Lonchura striata: one gene and its partner. The protein of the gene in region 2 purifies or fractionates together with the protein of the main gene of each other region. This does not show direct contact. Links are inferred from orthologs where the notes say so. Each region holds a gene or a part of one and is shown on either strand. Other genes may lie near its edges.

Evidence for each region. The genes of interacting proteins can lie anywhere in the genome.
Region 1: the proteins of PHLPP1 (region 2) and AKT1 purify together in Homo sapiens (affinity purification with western blotting, with the first as the bait; 3 studies listed by BioGRID). This does not show direct contact. The link is inferred for Lonchura striata from reciprocal best matches to the Homo sapiens genes PHLPP1 and AKT1.

Annotation. Positions count from the first base shown.
Region 1 is NC_134608.1:8,656,157-8,665,846, reverse strand, and holds the start of AKT1 (RAC-alpha serine/threonine-protein kinase), read right to left. Parts: upstream 4,013-9,690; 5' UTR 3,913-4,012; intron 3,213-3,912; exon of another isoform or gene 3,194-3,212; intron 1-3,193. UniProt on the Homo sapiens protein: AKT1 is one of 3 closely related serine/threonine-protein kinases (AKT1, AKT2 and AKT3) called the AKT kinase, and which regulate many processes including metabolism, proliferation, cell survival, growth and angiogenesis.
Region 2 is NC_134603.1:96,722,346-96,732,095, forward strand, and holds the start of PHLPP1 (PH domain leucine-rich repeat-containing protein phosphatase 1), read right to left. Parts: upstream 3,901-9,750; coding exon 2,556-3,900; intron 1-2,555. UniProt on the Homo sapiens protein: Protein phosphatase involved in regulation of Akt and PKC signaling.

The DNA of each region.
Region 1 (9,690 bases), on a different chromosome or scaffold from region 2:
CCTGCCCTCCTCCTTTCAGGGGAGAGGGGTGGTGAAGGGGGCGGAGAGTTTTGTAAAGAAGCTGTGGCACAACAAAGTGGAAAAACATTAAACACTTCCTGACACCAACCTGCATCACGGGTCCCACCTCAGTCCTTCAGTCAGCCATGTCAGAGCACTTACTTCACATGGAGAAACTTAAGCTATTTTTAATTTGCAATGTGAAGAGCTGGGGATCCCTTCTCACTGTCTAACAAGATGTCCATAGGCACAGCTTCAGCAGCAGCAAAACTGCTCTATCTACTGTATTTTCAAACACATATTGAAGCTGTGTCTAATACATCTATTTTATAAGAGATGTTATTGAAGACAGTGGCAGCAAGCAAGAGTAATTTCTTGGAATAGAAGAGCAAGTTAACTATAGGTCAATGTACTACTGAAGATGTGTAAACCAGAAAAAGTTCCTTTTCCATAAAATCCTTAGAGGGAAAAAAAAAAAAAAAAAAAAAGAAAAGGAATGATTACAGTCCTCATTTATGGCCATCTAGGAATGGTTCCCAGTGAAGAGAGGGCATCTGAGGTAAGTATGACCTGGCTGCTCCAGTCTATGTCTGCACAGGACTGAATACTGTCAAAAGCTAAACAACCTGGTCTTTTTCTTAGTCTCCTCTTTGCTTGTTTTTCAGTACGCATTTCTGTAATACTTTTTTTAACACTGCAGTAGTCCTCATGCAGCTGAAGTGCTGTAAATCATGAATGGTATGACATCAGCATCGTATCATGGTGACACCAGTTTTGCGTACATATTAACTCCTTAAAGGTTATTAAGTTCTTCGTAAATAATGAGATAACTCACTTCTGTAGGCACTGGAGCAATTAAACCTGCTTTAAGGAATCAGTCAAACCAACCATCCAACAGAAGGTGGAGCAGAACCCCTTTTTCCGTATTTGGGAGAATTGTGTTAGAGCTCTTTCTCTCATTCTCTTCTATACATTATCCTCACCTTCTTTTTTCTCTAAGAAAGTAGAAATACAAATCTGTACTTCCTGTCCTCTTTTCAATGTAAAGTTTTGTATTTGTTTCCACTCATGCCCTAGAGCAGATCAGAAAGAAAAGGAAGTCTTCCATTAAGCTGAAGCTTAAGCTTACGGGATGCAGGAGCACCTATGGTAATCACCTCATCTTTATGAGGGAGAGTAAGCAAGGGACTAAAGGGAGACTGACCCACCAGCCTCAGTCCTGGCACATCAGACTGTTTCTGGGCTGCACTTGTTAGCCCAGATCACAAAGCAGATTACAAAAAAGCATTCCCCTGGGCTAACACTTTGCCCTGTCACACCACCAGTTACTGATGCCCACTGCCCTGGTGTGGCACATTCGTGATTCTCCCAGGACACTCTGAGCTCAAACATGCTACACATCCGTACACGTTCTCATAATGCACAGCAGCAGGACCAGGCAAAACGGAATCCAGCTACCCAAGTTTGCCTACTGTGGCCACATGACACTTTCATGAGAGCAGACAAGGTACACGAGCACTGGACTGGGCCAGGGCGGTGCGTTCAGGCCCGTTACACGGGATGCCACCAGCAACCTACTCTCTCCTCCCAGTGCTCCCAGCTGACAGCCAACGGCACCTAAACAGCACAGACACAACAAAGTTGGGCTCCAGCCAACATTTCAAGTGGAGCGTACAGATAGATGTTCCCACCAGGCTTTGACCAGTGAAGTACATCTCCCGCGTTACGCAAATCCTGCCCTGGCTGTTTCACAGGAGCAACAGTGATTCCAACGTGCTCAAGGCCCTCTGTGCCTGCAGCAGCTTTGCACCATGACCCAGTTACCAAATCTGGGCAGACAGCTTTCAAGGAAGCTTAGAAGGACCAGGTTGTGCCACCATCTTAGCTTCCCTTACAAAAAAGGCATTGTGGGCCACGACTTAGGTGTGGCCACCAGTATTTACTACTGTGCGCTGTGTGTGTCCAATGACACCACATCTAAGCTGGAATTTCATGGCAGCAAGTGCAGCAGATCACAAGGTTCGCAACGGATTCACAGATACTAAGTTATGGGGAAAATGGTAATTGGAAAACAAAAATCTCTACAGCCACATCTCACCCTTTTTTTTTTTTTTCTTTCAATCTATTAGCCTAATCTAGGTTTACAAAACAGTAATTTGAAATATTTGTGTTCTCCTGCCTCTGCTGATCAATAGACAGGAGGTTAACGCTGTTCAGGCGAGGGGCCACAGTTACGACATCCAACTGTCCATGCTGCAAACACAACAACAGTTTGATAGGACAAACTAAGCTACCTATTTCAAAACTGAGGGATGGCAGAAAAGTGACTTCTTCATAAGCCCCTCTGCAGCCCAGACAAAATCTTCTTTATGTTCCCAAACAAGAACAAGTCCTTTTACAGTTTATGCTCATATGATTTAAGAACTGTGCTGCTCAGAACTTCGCTGCCTACCTGAGATAGATTTAATCAAATTCCATTTTGAAGTATTTGTAATTGAAGTTTTGTTCAGTCCCCAAAGAAATCAAGACAGTTGTGTAACTATTTAATTGTTAATGTAATCACTTACAGGACATTTTCATAAGACTGTAAAGTGAACACTGGAGCTGAAAGTGAATTGTGGACACTGGATCAATTTTTAAATTTGATTTACCGCTGCTGCACACCAAAAACAGTTCTATAAACGCCACACACAACACAAACCCTATTATTTAAAAATATCAAAGGTAGTTCCACAGGGTCTTTAAATCTGCTAACTCAGACAAATGTTGTGGCTGTCACCATGAAACTACTACATGAAAGTAATTACTAGTCATGCAGTATGTCAAATTTATTTACCTGCAAACAAATACTCTTCAGCATTAAGTGTTAGTAACTCCCTTTTATAACTGTATTTTGAAATGTACGTCCCTCCTGTGGTATAAATAAAACAAACTAGCGCAAATCATTAATTTGCTTCTTACATGATAAAGGTGGTAGGAAAACAAAGCAAAACAGTTAAATATTTCCCAAAAGGGTGGCCGGGGAGGGGGGGCACACACCACCAATAAGGTGCAAGCTGTATCTGCATCACTAGCGTCCTGTCAGTAAAATAAATTGAAAGTACCAGAACGTTTATATGTTTGATTATGGGTTTTACAACGAAGCAGACACAAGTCCTACAAGTCTCTAAGAACATTTCGGCAGCTGCTTCACCTGGAGGGGTGGGGGGGAATTCGGCAGACAGCTCCCTACACCTCTGCAAAACACGACTGCAAAAAGAAAAAAAAAAAAAAAAAGAAAAAAAAAAAAAAAAGAAAAAAAAATTCAAGTCCACAAGCGCTGCACAGCCACCTACACACGCGAAATGCCCACGGAGGGAATCACAACCCCGTCGGCAAACACTCAGTGGTCCGCAAAGCGGAGCTGGGCTGAACAACGCGGCCGCAGAAGACAAGAGGAGAAAATGGGGGCGGGGGAGGTGGGAAAATGGGGGGCCCTCGGCTACTTTGCTCGCCGCTGTTTCACAAATAGCACAAACCACCCCCCAGCCGCCCCCACCGCCGCTTCCCCGGGGGATGCTCGCGCAGGGCCCGGGGCGGGGGCAGGCCCGGGAGGAGCCCCCCGCCCCGCCGCCCTCTCTCCCACCGCATCCCCGGGGAGCCAACAGCTTCCTGTCCGCCCCGGGCCGCCGGCAGGACCGACCGACCGGCCGGGGCGGCCGCAGCCCGGGCCTCCTCGCCCCCACCCCGCCTGGCCGTGCCCGGGGGCCGCGGGGGCAGCGCACACCCGGGGAAGGCGAAGGGAAAGCGGCCGCCCCCTTTCCCGGCCCTTCCCTTCCCTCCCGGCCCCGCACAATGCGGCCGCGCCGAGCAGGCCCCGGCCCCGGCGCTTCCTTCCCCCAGCCCTTCCCAGCCGGAGAGCGGGTCACTTACATGGCTGGAGCCCCGGAGGAGGCGGCGGCGGCGGCAGGGGAAGGGAGCTGGGGAGGGAGTCAGGGGAAGGGGAGGGAAGGGGGGAGCGAGCCAGCGAGCGAGCGAGCGGGGGAAGGGGGCGGCCGGCGAGGCGGGCGGGCTCTGCGGCGGGCGCCGAGCGAAGGCCTCACTGGGCTCCCGGCAGCCGCCGCCTCCTCCTCACCATCCCCGGGCGGCGGGGCGGCTCCTCCTCCCCCTCTCGCAGACGCTCGGCCCGTGGGGTTCGCACGCCCGCTCCGGCAGCCGGCTCGCCTTCCCCGCCGCTCCGCCCTGCGAGGCCGCCCCTCGCCTCTCTCCGCCGCCGCCTCCCCCCGCAGCCCCGGGCCCGCTGCCGCCGCCCGGGCCGGGCTCGTCCCGCGGCGCTCGCTCGCACCCTCCGCGGCGCGGCCGCCGGGCCCCGCCGCCGCCGCTTCCCGCCCGAGCCGAGGGGCCGCCCCGCTCGCTCAGCGCCGCTCCCCGGACGGGGCTCGCGGCCTCGCCACCCTCCGAGCTCCCGCAGCGCGGCGGAGCAGCGCCCGCCTGCCCGGCCCCTCCGCCCACCCGCCGGCCCGGCCCCAGGCCCCGGGGGCGGCGTTTCCTGGCCCCGGGCGGCTCCGTGTTCCCCCTTCCCCTGGCACCGGCCCGGCCTTGGGCCGGAGCGGTGGGGACGCTGTGCCCCGGGAGGGGAGGGACGAGGCTTCTCCTGACTCGGCCTGTGAGCCGGCTGCCTGGAGCATGGACAATTTCACAGAATCACAGAATCAATTAGGTTTGAAAAGACAGGTTAGCGAGTCCAAACTATGACCGATCGCCCCACGTCAACCAGACCATGGCGCTAAGTGCCGCTTCAGTCGTTCCTTAAACACCTCCAGGGACAGTGACTCCATCACCTCCCACTGGAATGGGCAGCCCATTCCAATGTCAAAACACCCTTCCTGTGAAGAATTTTTTGCTAATGTCCAGCCTAAACCTTTCTCGGTGCAGCATAAGACTGTGTTCTCTGGTCCTGTCATTGATTGTCCGGGAAGAGACTGAGCTCCACCTGCCTACACCCTCCTGTCAGGGAGTTCTGTAGAATTATAAGATCCTCTTTGAGCCTCCTTTTTTTCCAGGCTAAAAACCCTCAGCTCTTTCAGCTGTTCCTTGTAAGACTTTTTCTCCAGGCCCTTCACCAGATTAGTGCCCTTCTCTGGACAAAGGGCATCCCCAAAAATGAGGCATCCTGCCCCACATAGGTGAGAGGCTCAGGCAGCCCCAGCATTTTAGACTCTAGGAAGGGCCAGGCTCCTTTAAACCTCTTGGGGTGCTTCCAGCAAGCTTCCCCAAAAGCATGGGATGCCAGTTCTGCTTCTCTGCCCTCAGAGTTTTCCCTTACAGTATTCCTATAATATACCAGATGATTAAATAACGAGGTACCAGAGTACCTGGGAGGATGCTCAGTATCCCTTTCCACATTGGACAGGCTGCATTAAGGAATTGCCCATGGAGGGGCTGGGGTAGTGATTCTGGATGTTGCACTCGAGGCCATCCTGCTTTCACAGTAGGAATGGCTCAAAACATGACAAATTGCTTAAACTATTGCTTACAGCATGACAATATTTTTGGTAAGGTTTTTGAGAGCCATTCTGCTCTAAAAACAATGCTGTGGAAACCCCTATGACAGATTAACATTTCTCTGCCCTTCCACTATCAAAATTTGTCTTCTTCGGTCATTAAGAGATCTTGCTTATTCTCAAATTGACAGTGCCATAAACGTTAACTGGGTTGTAAGAACTGATTGGATTTCTTCAGAAACATACGATCACTGATGATCACATTTCTGCAATCCGAAGCTGGCTGGAATTTAGGAAACGGCACATCTTCCCACAGCTATGCACCGTTGGCAATATAAAAGTGCATAAAACGCATTTACAGCAGTAAAGCTAGGGAATACAGCTCTGCCTTTACAAACTTATTGGATATAATAAGAGGCTTTTTTACCACATCATTTTGACGATTGTAAATGTTTATTGAAATTCACTTTCTTCTTCCGTTTTGATCAGCTAGGTCTGACTGATCATATCTGTAATCAGGGTTACCGAGTGTCAAATGGATTCCTGGATTTTGGGTACGCTGGTGTGCTAGAGGAGCCAACGATAAGGCAGAGGAGAAATGTTTCCCATTTCTTCATGGAGGGTGAAGAAAGAGTAATGCCTCCTTTCCCACCAATGTACAGAGTAGTTCCTGCTGGCAGAGCAGCTACGCCAGTGTGGGATTTTCTGTGTGTCACCTTTAGGTTTACTGGGGCATATTTCAGCACAATTTTAAAAATGTACAATTCAGGTACTTTAGCAGAGTAAGCAGGCCCCGTGGTACTGGCCCAGTTACCCAGGGCAGAATTGAATGGCTGTGGGAACTCTCTAAGATGTAAAGCTAATGGAAAGGAAAAATCTGGGTTTGTGATCACATTTTGACCTACCATGCATTACTTACAAAATACGTAGTGTGTATTAAAATGTAGGTAGTCCTTAAAGATGTATTTAAAATTAAATTCATCATCAGTGTGGAAAACTTGCGGGCAGCTCAGAGGACATGTATTTTCCTTAACAAAAACACGGACAAAATTAATTTATCAACTAATTTTGAGTCTTCAGGCTGTAGTTACATCTAGAAGTAAAGAGTGCATGTAAGTATAGGAGTTCACTGGCTGTGAGACAGTGGGGGCAGGGGGATCTCTGGTAATAGATCTGATTTCAGGAGAGCTTTCTCACCTTCCTGACAAACCCTCTCCTGATTGATAAGCTCCCAGGCTTCGTGGTGAGCAAGGTCATTAGGACTTCCCCCTGCAAATGAAGCAGCAGTTTAAAAAATAAGATCACAGAGTAAACAGTTTTCTGTCCTGAAGAGAAGAAAATAAACGTCCGTTGTTTGCTAGAAAGGAAGTACAATTAAAAAAACCCTCCAGATTTCAACATGAACATATTGTTTAGATTTGCCGACTGTTGATTTACCATGATGAAAGACAGGCCCAAACTAGAAAGTTTGGATCCCGATCTGGATCTGACATTCCCCAAATCTGAGAGGGAAGTGTGATTCAGAGTCTGGAGTAAGGGCTTATCTCTCAAACACAGCAAAGTACTGTGGATAAAAATACCCAGGTAAAGTAGGAAGTGCCTGGTCTGCAACAACAAGAGTGACTTTGTATCAACAATGAACAAAAGCAGCTTTTTTTTTTTCTTTGAGAACAATGAAATCACTCAAGAATTGTTATAAATACAAACAATGTGGGTTTTATCACTCAGCTATCATCAGTGGGATTATAGTCTATAAACCCTAATTTTCAGGGAAGTCCCTAGATTCCCTGAGCGCTTCTTCAAATTTCACATCTGTTAACTCTAGTTTATTAAGTGCTTCAGGATAAGATGCATCAACTGAGCCTTGGTATTACATTACCCAAAAATACTGAATGTAGGATTTAGTGGCAAAGAATGGATGATTTCCAGACAGTGTATTGATACCACGCCAAAAGAGCAGGCACTCCTGTTCCCACCCATTTTTAACACATATATAGGTAACAATTAATTCAGTATCACTTTTAAAAATTATTTCTAAATTTTTAAATTATGAAACTTTGGATAAAAATACAGTCAGGCATTAGAAGAAAGATTAGAATGGTAAGATGAAGTGGAATTACTGAGTTAACCCCCAGTAGAACAAGCTCTGTTCCATGATTCAAGTAATGACAGCACCTCTGTGGGCCAACAGTGAATTTGTTCCTCCCTTTTTAAAAGGTGGGCTGTACTCAGAGGAAAAAACTGTATGACATCTTATTAGGATCACAGAGCTGGTATCTCAGTCTAGGCATTAATAGCTTTTAAACAAACAACACAGTTTTGGTCTCAGTGAAGAATCTAGCTCAATATAAATAGAAATTAGAAGTGCTTTTCACAGTGCCAAATATAATAAACATACTTGTGCTTCTAAAACTTAACTAATCCAATGTTTGAAGGTGTATTTCTCAATAGCAAAACAATAGCAGGCTCTCTGGAAAAAAATAATAAATATAGTCATGCTGAAACATTGTGCATTTGCTTTATAGAAATTCATCTGGAGACTAAATAGATGTATGAGTTCGTCTGTAATTCTCCAATTAATTTCCTACAAAACTGCTATCATCTGAACTGGTAACATTGCTGGAGAGCAGCACTGAATGAGGCCTTGCTGCTCTTCCTCATGGCTTGCTGAAAGTCCTAGAATAGGCTGGACAGGAGACCTTGCTGTGGTTTCCTGCCTCTGTTCCTGGGATGCTAAAGCCAGACAGCCCTAGGATGGCAGGGTGTCACTGCTGTTAACTCCCAAGTGAGAGCAGTACACTCCTCTTCACCAGGAATAATGATAGCCATGACAAGGGGCAGATATGCTGTGGGGAGTTTGATACGTAAACAGGAACCCAAGTGGTTTGCATAGAAGATTCACTAAATAAAGCATGCAAAAATAGCAGATATTCAGTTCTATGCCATACCCCACTGCAATAACCACGACTCTCAGTCTGGACTAGGCACCGTTTGGTGCTGTAGGCTCATCAGAAGACTTGGGCTTTGATCCTAAGGGACTGAAGTCTGCTTCAAACTGCTGGTTTTCTCCCTTCCTTGTAAAGTGACTTGTCATGAATTCTTAGATCAGGAAAGATACCCAAAAAAGCTAAACTCCAATGATCTGTGTGAGAGAACATCACGATCTTAACTATAGTCAGGTAGGCAAATCCTCTGAGACTGAAGTACTGACATTATAGGCACATACTAAAATAAAAGCCAAAAACTTTCAGGTTCCTGTTGCATTCCCAACACTCACACACCCAGTGCTGATTATGTTCTTCACCTAAAATTACAGAGCTAAGCACAATGTGGGCATATTAACCTGGGGGCTATTTCAGTGGTTGATTACCCCTGCAGATCCCCACATACAGATCTCTGTCAAAGGAGCAGCAGCCACTCTGCTGGATGGGCACAGGCTCAGCAGTGGGTTCTTGGAGCACTGGTTCTGGCCACATGGATCTCCAGCTGACAGGAGCACAGAGCAGCTCAGTCTTCATCATGACATTTGCAGTTTCCTAAAGAGCAAGAGTTTCAATCAAGTTTTTAAGGTTTTAAGCATTATGGTGACAGGGGCTTCCCATATCCTGTAAAGTGCATATACCTTTGCCATTTACCCAGTGGACAGGCAAGTGTTTTTATCATTTTCATAATGCTAGAAGAGAGGAGATTGCTTGTAATTTCTTCAGTGTGTTTTTAATGGCATCTGCATGCACACAACAATCTGCTATGCTTTGAATCACCTGCTCAAAATTATATAGTTGGGAAAATTAAGGGGAGAAGTGACTGTTCCATCATCATTCTGGTCTGACACTGGCAACTGCAACCACAAAATTGTGCTTACTGATGTCTTCATCTATATTCAGAATCTGTTTTATTTGTGATATAAGAAGCAGTCCTGTGAAAGGAAAGGTGCAGAAATAATTTATATATTATAAATTTATTTTTGTTTGTTTGAGAATCACTCTCCTGTGTTTCTTTGATGTCTAAGCTTATGCTACCACTTGCCTTCAGTAAAATCACTGAGTTCTCCTTTTCTGCAAGATGTCTTATTGTCACAAAACTTTTGAGTGTTTTTCTAGCCTTTGGCTACTTCTATACTGGTTTTGTTAGCTGTGCCTACAGATAGGCTTGTGGCTGCTGCACTCTGTGGCCAGAGTGTGTTATGTCCATCCTGCTCTGAGGGGGC
Region 2 (9,750 bases):
AGGGGGATTAGGTGAAAGAATTCCTTTTAGAAGCAATGCAATAGATCCAACCTAGGTTTGTATAATTTCACATCAGCAAAAGACAAGTATCACCAAATCCTACTGAGATAGCTTGCAGGAAATTACAGGCATAGAGATGCTAGTGGTTCTCTATCCACTGGGACAAGCCAGGCCACTTAAATCAACAAAGTCTTAGGCAAACAGGAAATCACTGTTTTAAAGCTTTCCTTAGGGTATGATGCTAGAGGATCATTTATTAAAAAGGTATTTCTCCAAAGCAAAACACTTAACTTTGAGGCCAAAAAAAATCGCTCCCCTTTCCAGTGTAATTTGATGTGTATTCTTTTTAAGTGTCTCTCCTTCCCTCTCTTTCATCTTTGGGTTGTGTTTGTATAAAATAAGGAAGCAGAGATAACTTGCCAAGACAGTTACATAAAATCAGTATAATTACGTGTCAGTAATATTTTCTTAGCTGTTTTTGGCTGGCCTGGTACATTAGGTGCTGCAACCTTTCTGTTACAAGCACCTGATCACAGGTGTTTTAGATGTTGATCACAGATTCCCTCAAAGAGATAAGGATTTCAAAAAGCGCTGCACTTTTGAAGTAGAGGCATACTTGTTAGCATATGAACTTGCATAAGAAATTTGCATTAATTTAATCCTATGTATGTTCACAGAAATATCCTTCTATCCAGTAGTTTTGTACAAGGAAGCCTAAAATGTACAAGCTACATTAGCAGTCAAGTTGAGACACTGAAATAAAACAAAGTTGGAACATCCTCATTTAGCATGTATAATTAATCACTTAATGCATTAAAACTACATGCAAACAGGTTTAACTGTGTGTAAGACTTCACTATGCTTCCTGATTGTGTTTTCTTTAGAACACATCCTGTTAAAAAAGGAGGCACACAGCTGTCCCAATTTAAAACACGTGTGTGCATCCCCATTTAATGGTGGGGTGGGAAATAAAGGAAGCAATCCCTCCCAGCATCACCTGCTGACTTCCATCCTCAAGAGCAGGCAAAGAAACACAAAAGACCACAATCATGTCTGAAAAAAAAAGTAAGAAAGCTACTTTCTAACCCACATGCATCTAACCTATTTCTGTCAACTCCCTTAACAAATACTACTTATGCCAGGGTCATTGTACAATCAGAAAAATCTGAAGAAAAGCTGAATTGACCACTTGCCACCACTCCCACATTCTCTTCAGAATAAAAAAGGGCACTTATCCAGCTTACTGTTCTCCTTCCCACCCCACCATTACCAACTCCATTTGACATTCAGTGGAATTCACTCGAGAAAAGAATCTCTGTATCTTTCAGCGTTAAAGCACTGAATTCTCACGGTTCATTGAAGGACCATCCTGCTCAGCCAAACCAGCAAGGGGACGGAAGGCATGTGCTACTTTGCTAGCATGACCTCATCTCGGGATATCACATTTACCTGTTTCACAGGAAAACTTAAAAGGTAGCTGAATGCATATTTGGACATTAAAGAATGTTTTCTTTTTGAGGAGATGTATAAGACAGCTAAAATCCAAGAAGTTCTGAGATTACAGTAAGTCTTTGACACAAACCAACTCAACTGACACACAAGGTATTTTTAAACCTCCCTAAAACTGCAGAAGGTTGCATAATTACAACGTGGGAGCTAACTTTTCCACCCAACATTCTCCAAATTCTGTATTGTATGTTGTAGCAGCAAAGCTGCATTACGAAGCTTCTCCCTTTTCATTACAAAGGTTTTGACCACCCCGCTTCCAAAGACCACGACCTGTGCTTCCCTACTTCTCTCGCTCACTGCCCTCAGTCTCTCAGTGAAGTCCCATCACTCTAACGGGAAAAACTGATGCCAACAACGCAGAAAGCCAAGCGCAGGATTTTGTTTGCAGGAATGCACCGCGGTAACCTATTTCAGGAGCAAGAACTGCGGGGCTTCCCTCTTGGGAGCGAGCCGGCCGTGCCCTCGGCTCCGCGATGGGGCGGGCTGGGTGTTCCCCGGAGCGAGCACACAGCTCCACTAAACCGTGAGCCAGCTGCCGGCATCCCGCAAACACTTGGAACGAACCTTCGACCTCCCGCGCCCGGCAGCGGCACCGATACAATTCCTCGTCACTAAGGAAAGCAGTAGTAGATCAAGGCTGATTTAACCTCGAACGCCCAGTGCCGCTGCTAGGAACGGGAAAACAACATCAGCGCGACCTCCATTACCGAAGCGCTGAAGGAAGGGGAGGCTGCCCCGGGCACAGCACTGGAGCAGCGTGAGCGCCGCTGACACCGCGGCTTCTCCCGGCGGCCGGCTCGGGGCAGCGCTTCCCGCCGCCGCCGGGGACCTCCCGGCACGGCCCCTCCCAGGCGCGGCGCGGAGACACCCGCGGGCCGCCTTCCCCGCGACAGGGGACGGCCCCGGGCCGCCTTCCCCGCGACAGCCCGGCGGAGGAGCAGCGCCCAGCCGCCCGCACGCCCTCCGCTCACCGCGGCGCCCCACCAGCTGGGGCGGTGGGCGCGGCTCCCGCCCCTTCCCCACGCTCGCCCCCCGGCCCCGCTCACCGGCGTAGAAGCGGATGAGGCAGCCGGTCTCCGAGTCCATGCCCTCCTCCTGCACCCGCCACAGGTCCCGGAAGCCCAGCTGGGAGAGGTAGTCGTTCTGGATCTGCAGCGGCTTCTCGTGGGCCTCCAGCCGCCGGCTGGTCTCCCCGTGCAGCTGTACATACAGGGCGGGCGGCCCCGCTGGCTGCTCCCGCCCGCCGGCCGCGCCCGCCGGCACCCCCCCTGCCCGCCCCGGGGACAGCTCCCCCGGGCAGGGGGGGCCCCGGCCCGGCTCCGCACCTGCTTCTTCCACCCCGTCGGGGGGCGCCGGCTCCACCTCCAGCTCGTCCGAAGAGGACGAGCCACCGCCGCCGCCGCTGCTGTAGGGGTCCAGCCGGTCGGAGACGCTCTCGGCGCTGGGGCTGAAGCTCTCGGTGTCGGAGCCGGTCGGCCCCAGCTCCCCCAGCAGGGAGGGGCAGGAAAGCGGCGGCCCGGCAAGGTACAGTTCGGCCGGGAGCGCCCCGGGGCTAAAGTCGGAGGGCGCCGGGCTCGGCCGGCCGCCGGCCAAGTCGTTCTCCTCGGCGCCGCTGCACAGCGGCAGGCGGTCGGGCCGCGCCGCTTCCCCGCAGCCGCCTCCGGACAGCCCGCTCCGCGTCCCCCGCCGGCTCCTGGGCTTCTCGTCCGGCTGCGGCCGCAGCCCCTCGGCCGCGGGCTCGGGCGGCGCCTCGGCGGGGCCCGCCGGCGGCTCGGGCTGCGGCGGCGGCGCGCCCGCCTTGCCCAGCACTCGCACCACGCTGCTGCCGCCCCGGTGGCCGAGCTGCTGCAGCCGGGCGGCCACCTCGGCCGCCGTGGTCTCCAGGGTGCAGAGCACCGGGCGCAGGTAGCAGTTCATGTGCCGCTCGTAGACGTGGACGCAGCCCCGCTGCAGGTCCCGCCGCACCCAGTCCCGCTCCGGGGGCTGCAGGGGCTGCAGCTGCCGGGGCGGCTTCAGCAGCAGCAGCGCCTTCCTGTCCAAGCTGCGGGTGCCCAGCGAGGGGGCCGGAGCGCCGCCGGCAGAGGGGGAGGCGGCGGAGAGGTTCCTCTTCAACCTCCCCCGCCGCAGGAGCAGGGAGTTAGCGCTGCCGGCCCCGCCGGGGGCCGCCGGAGTCCCGCTGGCCGCCAGTGCCGCGGGAGGAGCGAAGCCGCCGGCTCCCCCTCGCCTCCGCCGCGGGCCGCCGGCTGCTTTGCCGTCCAGCTGCCCGCCACCGCCCGACGGCTCCGCGCCGCTGTCCGCCTGACTCCTCCTGCCCGGGGAGCCGCTCTCCGGCTCCCCCCGCCCGCTTCCCGCCGCCGGGGCTTCTGCCGCTCGCTGCTGCGCGGGCTCCATCGCCGCGGGGCCGGGGATGCCGCCGCCGCCGCCCTGCTGGGAGCGCCGCTCGGCGCGGCGCGGGGGGGCCGAACGGAGCGCGGCGCCGCGTCCCGGGGGTGGGGGGGGATTACGTAGCAGCCGCGGGAAGCATTCCGCCGGTGCCTGGCTCAGTCCCGCTGCCCGGCTGTCGCCAGCGCCATTAAGGAGGGGGGCCGGCAGGCGAGGAGCGAGCGATCCCGCCGCCGTCCGCCGCTCCCCGCGCGCGCGCGGCTCATGAATATTAACCAGCCCACGGGGAGCGAAGGAGGCTCGCGAGGGTGACGCCACCGCTCGCGCGGCGGGGCGGGGCCTCGCCCATAAACACAGCGTGACTCCCAGCCGGCCCGGGCGGCGCGCGGGGGCCGCTGGGAGCTGTAGTCCCGCGGCGGCCGCGAGTCCCGGCAGCCCCGCGGCTCCCGCCGGCCCCGGGGCCGCGCAGGCTCCGGGCGGGGGGCCGGAGCTCCCTCACGGCACGGCGCGGGGCTGAATCCGTGTTAAAATTATTCCAGGACTGTGTCCCGCGCTCCGTGTTCGTGTTCCCTAGGTCCGGTCGGAGGGTCTGGCGGGCCCGGTGACCGCGCTCGCCGCGCTCTGCCCAGTCGGAGGCGTTCTCCCCGCTGGCTGCCGCGGCGCAGAACCCGAGCTCTGAGCCCTGGCAGCCTTCCCCTCTGAGGAGGGAGATGGTGTTTCCAGATCCAAGATGGAGAGGGACATGGAAATGTGGGTGGAAACATGTATGTGTATATACGCGCACATACCGCAAGAAGAGCTGTTTTGTGAATAGGCGCAGAGAAGGTTTCAGTACCTTTAGCCTGTCACTGCATTTCAGGGACCAAACTTACCTAAGATGCCTACTTGTAGAAGATCGCTGAGAAGTAGCAATTAAATAGAAACATTTTTTTCAAAAAAACATGTCCCATGATTTAAAACAAATTACTGAAAAGGAAAATCTGATGCATTCGATTAGCATTGTAAACGTGTGAGTTTTTATACTGCAAGGACACCATACTGTGGAATTCAGAGAAATCTCTTACGGTCGTGGAGATGTTTTAGCTGAGTAATGCAGGCTGGATAGGGTTGTAACTGCCTGAGATCTCTCCTTTTTAATACATTTTGTAAAATCACAGCGAAGCATTGTGCCAGATACTCATGAAAAACGCAGTAGACTGCAATAAACTGGGAGTTCCGGGCAATTGACCAGTTATGTCAATATTAGGGGAGATAAATCATCACTAAGAATCCTGAGATAAACTCTTAGTGAAACATTATTTTTAGCTGGTCAGTCTTTTTAGTGCACTCGTGTAACATATGAACCCCAAAATAAACCACAGCCATAATAAAATTAAGGTTTACTTCTCCTAATAAAACATTTCTCCACAGTTCCACATTACTGTGTTCATACCACATAGAAGCAGATGAAACAGGGCACAGCAAAAAAACTTACAATGCAACCATGTAGCTGCCTTTTTAAAGTTTTTTTTAATAACAAAGCTGAGTTTACTGTGTGTGAAAACCACCCACTTTCTGAACAGAACAATCTGAAAATTAACTGTTCCGATTGTGGAGTTTGTGTCGAGCTGTATCTAGAGTTGCAATCACCAGTAGGATCTTCTTTGGAATTCAAGAACACAAGCTGACAGAAGATGACAGCAGCACTTGGCCATTAAAGACTTTAAAGGTCAGAACTGAGCAGATGAGCTTTGGTTCTGGCTGTTTGTTGTATTCTGATTTGTTTCTGCTGCTTTGCTACCTACTTCACAGAGTCCCCCCCCAATTTAAATGTGTTAGGGAAATGTTCAACATGCAAACACACACACACACACACAAAGACACACACACTCAGAAGGAGACAGCAAGCTCTAGGGACATTATTGTTAATGATGGTACTTGAAATGTTTTTAGCAAACAGTTTCCAGGCCTTCTCTTCTTTGCTAGGAGTGGCAGGAGAGATCTGCCTTTCTCGAAGTGTTCAAATACCTGAATGTTCATCCACACACAGAAAAAGTCCAGAACACAGAACCAAAAGATATCTCTTGGGGCTTCCAGTGTTGTCCCTTGTGGGTGGAGATGCCACATCCTACATGTTAGTGAGGTCCCCCTAACGCAGCAGATAAACAAGCTGAACATCAGTTTGAACTGAGCTCAGCTGATTTGTCCTCTGCCCTAACTGAAGACTGCCCCAGGGTCATCCTGGTCCTCCCTGTTGGGACATCCCTTCCAATTTTCGGCCTGAATTTTACACCTGGGTAGCCTATGCACATTTGCTCATATGCCAGCTTTGCACTGCCCTTTGACTCAAATAGCTGTGGGTTTTTTGTTTTTTTTAGCTCCAGAGCCTCTACCCCGAGGTGCTTAGAAGCAGCAACAGTATTCCCTGGCAGGCTTTGTTTTCTCTCTTGGGTAGACATAAACACACTCTTGTTGTGTCCTCTGAGGAGATAAATCCCACAGTGTAGGAACACACAGTTAAGGTCATTTGGACAGCTTTGGAGCAGATCCTCCATGGGTTGGACTGGTATGGCCCCAGCTCTGGATTTTCTCTGCGAGTCCACACGGAGCAGCCGCCGTCTGCGATACAACTCAGAGAAGTGGCTGGGGACTGAGCTGACCTCACTCTCCCTCTTGCCAGCAGCTCTGGCAATTCACCTCTGCCAGCAGCCCCACTCATAAATGGTTTATGCAATTAAAAACAAAGTAGCTGTACTAAAGTCCAGAGGGAGTGGGGAAGTTGTTGGATTTATCTCTGCCCCATGGAATTTGTTCAGGAGCAGAAGTTTGCAATGAGCTCCTGGCATCCTATGAGCCCTGAGTTGAGCTGTGAGAAGAAAAAGGAGCGTGTGGTCGATTTTCATGCTTTGCTGAATATGAAGGTGCAGTAGCTGTAGCGGCCTAGCACCTCCAAATGTTAGCAGTACCCAGCCTGATTATTTTTGCATTGTGCAGGGAAGTGTGCCTGAAATCTTTAAATTTCATATGTAAATTGAACTCTCCAGCTTATAAGAAAGCTCTGCTATTTTCCATTTCCCGGTATCTCATATATACTCTTAAACTCTCTTGAAATTTTGAATTTTGATAGGGATTAACTGGTGTTCTCAGACATGGGAATGGGGTTTGTGAAATTGATGTTTGACAGGAGGAAGTGGAAGGGTGAAACACACATTTCCCTTTTCCAAAGTTGGATTGATGACAGCTGTTTGGGAGACAGGTAAAATGAAACAGGGTGGTTTGCAGTCTGCAGTTTTCTGACTGGACTCAGATGATCTTGAGGAGGAGTATTCTGATTACAGGAGCTGGCAACAAAAAATGAGGGAATAAAAAGTAATTTATCTGAGATTACTAGAAATTACTCCATACCAACACTTTTTATACTGAATGAACAAATTATACACTCTCACACATAAGTGCAGGGAAATGCTGGAAGGTCTTGAAACCACAAGAAGACTTTTGAGCACAGTGTTACATCCAGAGTTACCAGACCTTATCTGAAATCCTCACAGAGGCTGGAGCTGTTGTGATCTTCACTGTCTACATTTGTGCTGGCAGCTGCTACAGCTACAGCAGGAGGCATGAGACTGCATACACATTCCTGGAGCTGACTGAGTAACTGCAGAGGTACTTGGAGTGTGTTAATTCTTGCTCAGCCTCTTCTGAAATCTGCCTTCCCCAATTCGCACAGATTCCTTTAAAGCCCTCGGGGATACACTGTGCTGTTATTAGATGTTTCTGCAAGGGAAGGGACAGATTATGGGCATCAGCTAGTGTCTGTGGTTTTCCTTACTCTTTCATTATGAATACAGAAAAAAGGAGAAGGTCCATCTTATATTGCTGCTGGTTCTGTTCTTTGTAAGCATTATACCCCTTCATTTCTGATAACATCTTGGTTTAGCTACAGTTAATATTTTGCCAGACAATTCTTATTTGTTCTGTCTAATTTTTCAGAAATGTCTTCTGCAGGGGGATAGTAAGCAGCTTTTGTAGACTCAGTTTTACCATGATCTATACTCAAAAGGATTGTTTTTAGTTAAATCAAATACACAGTGAATACCGACTTTCAGTTTTGTTTTCAAAGATATCATTGCAAAATAATATGTCATCATTAAATAGGAATTGCTTAATCCCCAGTCCCTGACTACAGAAAAATTGACTGACAAGTCAGTTCTGGATCAAAAGCTGAGTGCTGAGAAATGCTAGTGTGGGAAAGATTATATTTATACTTTCTCTGCTATAAGTCATCTTCAATGATGCTGCTAAATGTTCATCTGTGTTTCAAAAAGGTGTGAATCACTTTAGTGATTCCAGTTAACAAGTGAAGGTGGAAAGAGAGCTTAGAAAGAAAGAATTTAATGTCCTTCAACCCTGAAAAGTGTTAGGGAGCTTACTCAGCTCTCTTCTTTAGTAGCCTGTTTTTGTACAGATAACAAAGCAAGAGACTTATTTCAATGTCAAAATGCTGAAACAAAAGACGTTTGCCACTGTATGTGTAATTCATAGACCAGGAGATGGATAAGCGAAGGGACCATTTCAAATTAAACAATGTAGTAAGAATACCCTTTTTTCTAAAGAGAAATTGAATGTTATCATATGGAAACTGTTCTCAAAATAATATTTTATCATTATTTCGATTAATTTCATTTTCCAAAATACTAGGTGTGCACTTGTGCCCCTCATTCATATTTGCAATTGCCACAGCTATAGGTACAAATTGTATATACAGATAACAAGGAACTGAAATTTCCAGCTGTGAACATGAGCACGATAGTGTGTGTATGTTCCATAGCAGTTGTGCTCATCTTGGCATGTAAGGCTTTCAGTGTAGTAAAGCATTTAAAATGGTGCTTATTTAGAGAAATGTTTACTTTTTAAAGTGTTCTTATATCGAGGATATGATTAAGAACTATTCTTGAACAGGTGAGTTTGCATTACTCAATGCTTGAAATAAAAGTTAGAGGCTGTAAGTGATCTTAGAGTTGCCCTTTTGTTTAAATATTCAGTAACACTGGATTCTTATGACCCAGGAGGTTATTTGTACCTACAGCTCCCTAAATAATTTTCAGCAAGGTTTGATCTGTGTTTCTGGTTCCAAAACCACTTCCATACAAGTAATATCAACACTACTACATGTTCTTCAGCAGTGCACTTCAAAGTGTATTACAAACGAGAGTAAGTATAAATATTTTCATAATACAAAGAGAGAAGAAAAGAGGCAAGAACCTTCTTGGCTGCACATTAGACTCCTCTAAAGGTGATAGACACAAGTCAGGTCCTCATGTTCTGAAAGTGAAGTACCAGGCTGTGAAACTTCCTTCTTGGTAAGCTGCAGTCATGTCCCAGCTCCCTCTGGGCGGGTGCAGAATCCAGCTGTGAGGTTGTTCAAGTGACAGTGATTCTCACTTATAGTACTTGGCCACTTGAACTTCAGTTTCTTGTAGAGCTAACCTGTATTGCTTTCAGCTAGGCGGGGTTTTCCTAAGCCAGCGGCAGCGGCGTGGTGTGGAGATCCTTTGATTACACAAATGTTTCCCGTTGTGACATGCACAGGCTGGGCTCTGTTAACATTGCAGTTAAACAGTCGGGAAGTGCAGCTTCCTTAACAAATTTTGGAATTTCTTCTGCAGCACAAACTTCTTGCTTCTATCAAATGAAGAGAGAAAGGAAACAGCAACACCTCTACTGTAGTTCAAGGCAATGAGCAGCTATCATGAGTTAACTGTACAGCTAAAAACCACGCTCAGAGGAAACAAATTTGAGGAAAAAGAATTCAGCTTTGTTATATCTGGATTGATTACAGGTCTATGTTATACATTCTAGTGTTACATTAAATACTGTGTT